2 linked regions of the Arabidopsis thaliana genome follow. The protein of the gene in region 2 purifies or fractionates together with the protein of the main gene of each other region. This does not show direct contact. Each region holds a gene or a part of one and is shown on either strand. Other genes may lie near its edges.

What was found.
Region 1: the proteins of PEX3 (region 2) and AT5G17510 fractionate together in Arabidopsis thaliana (co-fractionation; one large-scale study listed by BioGRID). This does not show direct contact.

What each region holds. Positions count from the first base shown.
Region 1 is NC_003076.8:5,770,292-5,774,217, forward strand, and holds the start of AT5G17510 (mediator of RNA polymerase II transcription subunit-like protein), read right to left. Parts: upstream 2,105-3,926; 5' UTR 2,053-2,104; coding exon 1,574-2,052; intron 858-1,573; coding exon 227-857; 3' UTR 21-226; exon of another isoform or gene 1-20. Other genes in the region: RCP1 (root cap 1 (RCP1)), read right to left, coding at 2,505-2,587, 2,726-2,787, 2,861-2,923, 3,019-3,137, 3,227-3,328, 3,782-3,871.
Region 2 is NC_003070.9:17,981,717-17,985,642, reverse strand, and holds the start of PEX3 (peroxin 3), read right to left. Parts: upstream 1,911-3,926; 5' UTR 1,693-1,910; coding exon 1,679-1,692; intron 1,499-1,678; coding exon 1,337-1,498; intron 1,247-1,336; coding exon 1,056-1,246; intron 983-1,055; coding exon 852-982; intron 745-851; coding exon 674-744; intron 570-673; coding exon 533-569; intron 468-532; coding exon 340-467; intron 253-339; coding exon 37-252; intron 1-36. Other genes in the region: RACK1B_AT (receptor for activated C kinase 1B), read left to right, coding at 2,375-3,253, 3,565-3,666. UniProt on the Arabidopsis thaliana protein: Involved in morphology determination of peroxisomes, but not in import of peroxisomal matrix proteins. May act as a docking factor for PEX19 and be necessary for the import of peroxisomal membrane proteins in the peroxisomes.

The sequences.
Region 1 (3,926 bases), on a different chromosome or scaffold from region 2:
CAGATACAAGAAATGCTTACTTGGAACCATCATTGGTAATTCAGATAGCGGAGAGCAAGAGTATCATTAGGCTTTGAGTCTGACTATCAGATACCCATATACTTGACCTGAACCTGGCATATATAGCAGCTTGAAACTATAGAAATTGGAGTGATATCAAGAGCAACTGTAATTTCCTTTCCAGTTTCTAATACATGAGACTGCAAATAGTCTTCACCTTGGTCATTTACCGGCTATTCAAATCAAATTCTCCTGCTTCACGCCAGTTTTCTTGTTCCCCTGTCTCTCCATTCTCATTCTCCTCATCATTCAAGAAATCTTCTGAAGGTTCCTTGTCCTCTCTCTGACTGTTGTTTCCCCATCCATTCATCATCTCATCAGGGTTCATGTTACGTCCCTGTTCTCCCATCTCGTGGCTAAGCTGAATATTGCTGCCCTGATTTCCAACCGCATTAGCCCTTAATGGGTTACGAGCCATTATCTCAGCATGAGATTGAGACTGTCCAGCTTGAGCTAAAGCCGCCATCCGCAGCTTAGCCTCCTGAGCCTCCCGGCCAGCCTTCTCCCTATCCATTTCTGCTTTCAGTTCAATCAACGCTTTCCTTTCATCTTGTAGCAAAGCTTGTTCTACCATCAACCTTTCCTCAGATCTGAATTCTCCCATAGCTCTCTTTCGAGTTATTATGTTAAAAGCTAGTGCTTGCTTCTCAAACGTTGCCGTGAATTCAGCAACTTTCGCAGCAATGTTGTTATCCCATTGTTGAGAGCGGGACAAGGCCTGGCCTGTTGGGTCTGAATCAAGGATTCTATCATCCTCTTCTGCTTCGTAATCTGCTACGACATGATAAGGTAATAATCTGCACAGGTTGTAAGAATACACGCAATGTGAGTAGTGACCGCAGTAAACCAGAAACAGAATGTTCAAACAAGGCAATGGATCTATCTAGCAATTATAAACCTAATATTACGTCAATAGAACCTTTTCACACAGATATGGAAGAAGACAGGTAACAAAAATAGCAAGAATAATTAGTAATATCCACGGAACTCAGTAATGTTTCTCAACACTCAAAAGGAGGTATTTATAGCTTTTACGAGAAAAGACAGGACGTAATTCCAAATTGATCTCAAAGAAATGAGGACCATGCAGAGATGCCACATCAAACTCAGAGAGAAGAACAGGATCTCTTATACTTATAGACAGGGAAAATATAACAGATGCAGCATCTACCTTTTTCAGAAAGATACCTATTCAAGAAACTCATGCTTCCAGTAGACAAAGATCCCGTTTTTAATCTATAGTCACAATCTATAGTTGACCAAAAGGCTAACATATAGTATCATTCTAATTCTACTACCAAATAGGACAACAGAAAGCCTCAGGGCGACTCCTAAGGAGATAACAACTCAAAACCCAAAAAAACGTGATAGATCATTAAATTCAATTATTAATAGATAGATCAATGTTTGATATCATTAAATTGAGACTAGAAAACTATACTAATTGCTGCGGCTTTGATGAATTTCATCAAAAGTATATAAAGTTTGATAATTTGCATTTGATACAACAAACCTCTCGCAAGCATCTTCGAGAGAAGAGAAGGGTTGTTTAAAATTGGGGTGACAAACACGCCAAGCGTCCTGATAAGCGCATTGAAGCTCGATGTGATTCAATGGCCTCATCAATTTCTGCTGCTGCTGCTGTTGTTGTTGTTGCTGCATCATCTGCTGACTCGATACATTCTGCTGCTGCTGCTGTTGAAAATTCGGTGTCTGCTGTCCCAAATTAGGGTTAGGGGTAGGATTCTGCTGAGGCGGAGGATTAATGGGTCGGTTCTGAATCAACCCCGGTGGCCGGAGATGCACGTCGATGTTCGACGGGAATCTAGACATTGCTGCTTGTTGCTGTTGTTGTTTTTGCAATTGCTGCAATAGAAGCATTTGTTGTTGTCTCTGTTGTTGTTGTAGTTGGTGTTGATAGAGAAGTTGTTGTTGTTGCTGCTGCTGCTGAGGATTGTTGTTACCTCCCAATGGTGGCTTCGTGTCCTCCATTTTTGCTTTCTTTCTCTTTTAGGGATTCTATTTTGGGATTCTAGGGTTTTTCGGGGAAATGTTCTTCGCCGTGAATAATGGTTGTCTTGTCTAAGTGAGAGAAGAAAGAGGCTTGTGATTTATCTGGGCCAATCTAATTGGGCTTTTATGATTAAAGACCACAAATATTAAGCCAACTAATCAGACTAAACCGGGAAAACGATAGCCAAAGCTGAACCCGGGAAAACGATAGCCAAAGCTGAACCGAGAATGTTTCGATTTTGATTTTTGACCGTTCAATATCAAAAGTTATTTTTGATATCAGACATTATTTTACTATATGATTCAAGTAAAAAAATACATGAAATTACAGAGTAGTTGTCTTATAACCCTTAGGAAAAAAGAATGAAAATACATGTAATCTCTATGGACTTGCTTGAACAAAGGGCGTTTATGGCGTGTACATTCATTCATTACGGTCCAAAAACAAGTTCTTTCAAAGATCTAAACGGCGAGTTGTGACCATAAGCCACTGCATCTCTCCACAAAGCCAGTCCTGTTTCATACAAATGGGGGAAGAAACGGTTAAATGCGTTCAGAGAGTGATTTATGAACATCTCACACTTGAATATATGGTGGAAAACAAAAATGGAACGATGATAATGTAAGAGAGAGTATCTGTGAAGTAACCAACCTATCCATGAGATCAAACCAATTGTAGCTGCCACGAAGAATGACTGGCTGGTGCAATTTACCCTGTGGAGAATACCGGATTATCGATAAACTCATTTACTTGTGACAAAAGAGAGTTGTGTGCAAGGGTTCTTACAGGTATAAGCAAAGAATATTTCCATATCCATAAAAGAGAGTTGCCCATAGCGAACCAGTGAGCCTGCGTCATGGTTTAATGAATATCAAGCAGTTTTTTTACTACGGGTGAATATAGTTTAAGCTGAAAGGTTTCGAATTGAGAGAGCTTATATTTACCACATCAAATCACGGATAAATAGTGCTCGAGGGATCATAAGCCCGTTTCCCATCATCGAGAGCAACATTGTGATTGACGATAAGCCTTTTATGTTGTCCGGGTTTAGAAAATTTGTCCACTGAAGTGTAGAAGAACATCAGATATCCAATAGGGAAAGAGCAATTAGGAGAAAGTTCAAAGAACGAGAGAAAAAATGAGTTGTTATACCATTTGGGAAACTGGCATCCACATGAACATAAGAGTTGCTGTCCATCCAGATAAAGACCCTACAAACCTAACACCTTTCTCTGAAAGTTTCCCAGTTCGAGCCTGCATTCTTACCAGTAGGTAGTTAAGAGAAAAGAAGAACACTTATCCATATAAACAACTACACATCTTAACAGTTGTTTTGAAGGATCTACGAAACCAGGAATTAGTTGTCAGAGAATCCTAATACAGACTTGGAGAAAAAGCATCAAGGCCACCATTTTTTTTTTCTATAAAAAAGAAAACTCCTATTTCCTGACATAGTTTTTTTTGTTCATAAAGCCCAATAACAACACGAGGACTGAAGCGAAATTGCAATGAAAGAGATTCGGCATCCAACACTTAGCTCAATGCAAATGGTTACAATATTACCCAAGCTAATAATATGAAAACTTGTTAAAAAGGTTTCGAGATAATCTCCTAGAGGCTAAAAGTGACTGATATGACTAACCAATGTCAACACGTTACTTACAGATAAAATTATGGGGGGAAAGTAAAAAGTTTTTGAAAGCTTACCATGATTATAGCTGCCACAGCAATACCAAAAGCAGTTGTCCCAGGCAAGATACTGTTTGGTACAAGAGGGACAAATGTTGACCACATGATCTGCAATTTTCAAATTCGAAGTGTCGAATTAATTAAAACAAGTGTCTAGTCTAAT
Region 2 (3,926 bases):
ATTGTGTGTTTATCTTAGCAGATAGACATTACTTACCTGATGAGTACTTCTCGAGTCTCAACCATGAGTTGATGAAACTTGGACACAGCTTCATCAGAAGAGTCACTTGTGGTTCTTGAAAGCTTTGTGTCTTGAGGCATCATTAAATAATCAACCCAGTGATGTGGGCTTCCAGTGCTCATAAACACATCTACAATCTGCATCACGGTTTCTTGAAGAACTCTTGTGGTAATTACATCCTTTAACTGCTTTCTGCAATTAAACACACAAAAACATATTAGAGTTTTTCCAACAATAGTCAAATTATAAACGATCTAGATACGAATTTTTGCAATGTACCCTTTAAGGACTTCCTCGGCTGAACCCTGCATATCTGAAATCAAACTTGGCATTGCATTGGTGACAAGAAAATCAGCACTCGACAAAAACTTCTGTTCATCATCTCTATCAATGAGATCTACCTCTTCCTGCAAACAAAAAGAAACAAATTTAATAGATACACTGTTGAAAGCTCACAGGGCAAGCAGATCACAGGACAAGCGGCCGTGGCTTTAAAAGGTAATCTGGAACTATATCAAAGAAAGATAGGTGATTCCAGAGTATTAGTCCACAGATAGGTCAAATGCATAATCGTTATCGCAATTAAACACAGCTACTAGAGACATAATTATACAAGTTCTTAACAGAACAACCAGTGAGTTTCCCCGAGAAATAGCTTGTTGGGGATGAGATAAGCAAAGTACACTGAATCATACTTGCGAGCAAATGAGAGCAGTAAAGAACATGTGCAGTATCGTTTAATAAACAGCAAATTCTCCAATACAGAGAAGAGGGGAAGCATATTATCTTACAAGTAAATGAGAGCTGCCAAGAGCTCGAGCGGTGTCAACATACAAATGTCTGCCTAAAATGTTGACTTGAACCCTAATGTATAAGCTAAGCATTGTCACAGACCACAGAGACAAAACCATCCTCGTGAAACCTGGCAAATAACATGAATATACAGGTAAGAAACAGAATTTGATAGAGTAAGAGTAGGTGACTGCAGTGCATACTCAAAATCTTGAGCTCATCCCAGAGCTGAAGTTTCTCAGGTGGACTCAGCATTCCTTTCCCTTGGTTCAGTCTGTCCATAACATGAGAGACATCGATCTCCTCGCTGATACGGATACTCAAAAACTGCATTGCGTGAGGCAGTGTGGTCGAATCCACAATCATCTGAATACTCTCGAAATGTGCTTTCATTCTAAACAAGAGTACAAACAAGACAGGTCCGTTAGAGAATCCATAAGAACTGAAGTCTAAAGGATCAGTTTTTATGAGCACAGAACTTAACTGGGTTTTGATGATTTCGTCATTTTCACGCTCGTGAGCGAGTTCTCGTTCCAAATCAGCAAGCCTACGAGTATGGGAATTGTATAGTTTGTAGAGTAAATACCCACTTCCCAAACAACCAGCCGTCACCAAGACCTTCCTTCTATGCTTCCTCCAAAAACCCCTAATTTATTCCACAAGGTATTGAATCAATTAAAAACCCTAACTTTATTCACCAAAAACCCTTCCTAAGGAATTGGAATTAGTGTGCTAGAGAGAGAGAGATAGAGAACGCAAAACACTAAATTTCGAATTTTCACGAAAACAGTAAGCAATTACAAAGAAAGATGAAGCGAACAAGAACCTAACGAAATCCATGGCTGGTGAAGCTTTTACTGAAGTCGAACCCAGAGATACATAGCTGAGAAAACACGTAGAAAGATGAAGATTCCCGAATTGATTCGTTCGGTTTGAAAAGGAGATAACTTTGCAGGCGAGAGAAAGAGATGGTTGATGTGATCGATTTCAATTTAATCAATCACTTCATCTTTTTCTTCTCCGGAATTCGGACATGTAAAATTATATCTTCCACAGGGACAGTCGAAGTTGTGTTCTTAGTTCTTACAATAAAAGTTGAAATGGCCAAACTCGGTTTGTTTACTTTAATTGAACCGACTTTTGAGTCTATTTCAATTTTTGACAATAACTTCTCGGTAGAGTTCTCATGGGGTTTGCCCAAAAGAGAGAAAAAAAAGTTGTCATGTCATGTACTCATGTGGTTATCAAATTGACTTGTAACAAGCTATACCAATTCTGGTTAAGCGTTCCAAACAGAAAGATATAAATCTCGGTTCCATAATTGTCCCAACATGAAACCAAGTTGGGTAGAATACCGGGCCTTAATGCTGGCCCAAATGAAGAGACCCAAACTATTGACAAATGAAAACAAAGAACCCTAATTATCTCTAACTATAAATACTCTCGGTTTCTCGTTACCTCCATTTTGCCCTCTCCCATTTTTGTCGCCGAAACCCTAAATCTCGACCTCAAACCCTGAACCATGGCTGAAGGACTCGTGTTGAAAGGCACAATGTGTGCCCACACTGATATGGTCACCGCCATTGCTACACCGGTCGATAACTCCGACGTGATTGTAACTTCGTCGCGTGACAAATCAATCATCCTCTGGAAACTCACAAAGGAAGACAAGTCATACGGTGTTGCTCAGCGGAGGATGACTGGTCACTCTCACTTCGTTCAAGACGTTGTTCTCTCCTCCGATGGACAATTCGCTCTCTCCGGATCTTGGGACGGTGAGCTTCGTCTCTGGGATCTCGCTACCGGAGAATCTACTCGTCGTTTCGTTGGTCACACGAAAGATGTTCTCTCTGTTGCTTTCTCTACCGATAACCGTCAGATCGTCTCTGCTTCTCGTGATCGTACGATTAAGCTTTGGAACACGCTTGGTGAGTGTAAGTATACCATCTCTGAAGCTGATGGTCACAAGGAATGGGTTAGTTGTGTTAGGTTTAGTCCTAATACTCTTGTGCCAACTATTGTATCTGCTTCTTGGGATAAAACTGTGAAGGTCTGGAATCTTCAGAATTGTAAGCTTAGGAACACTCTTGCTGGTCACTCTGGTTACTTGAACACTGTGGCTGTGTCACCTGATGGTTCGTTGTGTGCCAGTGGTGGCAAAGATGGTGTGATCTTGCTTTGGGATTTGGCTGAAGGGAAGAAGTTGTATTCTCTTGAAGCTGGCTCTATTATTCATTCACTTTGCTTCAGTCCCAATAGGTACTGGTTGTGTGCAGCAACAGAGAATAGCATTAGGATTTGGGATCTCGAGAGTAAGTCTGTTGTTGAGGATTTGAAGGTTGATCTTAAGGCTGAGGCTGAAAAGACTGATGGTTCTACTGGAATCGGAAACAAGACCAAGGTATCTATTTCTCCTCACTCTATCTTATGGTTAATTGTCTAGTTCTAAGTTCTGTGAATTAGTTAGCCGTTGCCTTAAAAGATGAGATTTTCATAAAGGAAGGTCTGAATACTCTCATGTGAAGTTAGTTCACAAGATTTGATTGGTACGTAAGAGAGTAGCTAACATTAGATTGAGAAACCTGGTTTTAAGTTAGCTCTAGTCTCTGATTTCTTAGATTGTAGTGTCTGAAGTGATTCCATATTGATTTGTTGGTTACTCTTTGGTCTGAGGTGGTTTATATATGTTCTAATGTGGAATGTAAAATGCAGGTGATCTACTGCACAAGCTTGAACTGGAGTGCAGATGGAAACACTTTGTTCAGTGGATACACTGATGGAGTTATCAGGGTTTGGGGTATTGGTCGTTACTAGAGAGACAAGAAGTTTCTTTATTCTCTCCAAATTTTTCCATCGACTCTAAAGTCTTCTCTTCTGAATTAGTGTTTTGAGGATTTATTTTTTGTTCTTTTCTATTTTCAGAATCCACAAATGTGATATTTTGATACATTGATTTTGTTTCATATTTGTTTTCTTACACTGAGTCTGAGTACACGGCGTAGAATCTGATTTGAAGTTGTTACTTGTATCCTCTAGAAAGTAGAAATGGCTTTAGGTTGATGACTAACTGTATA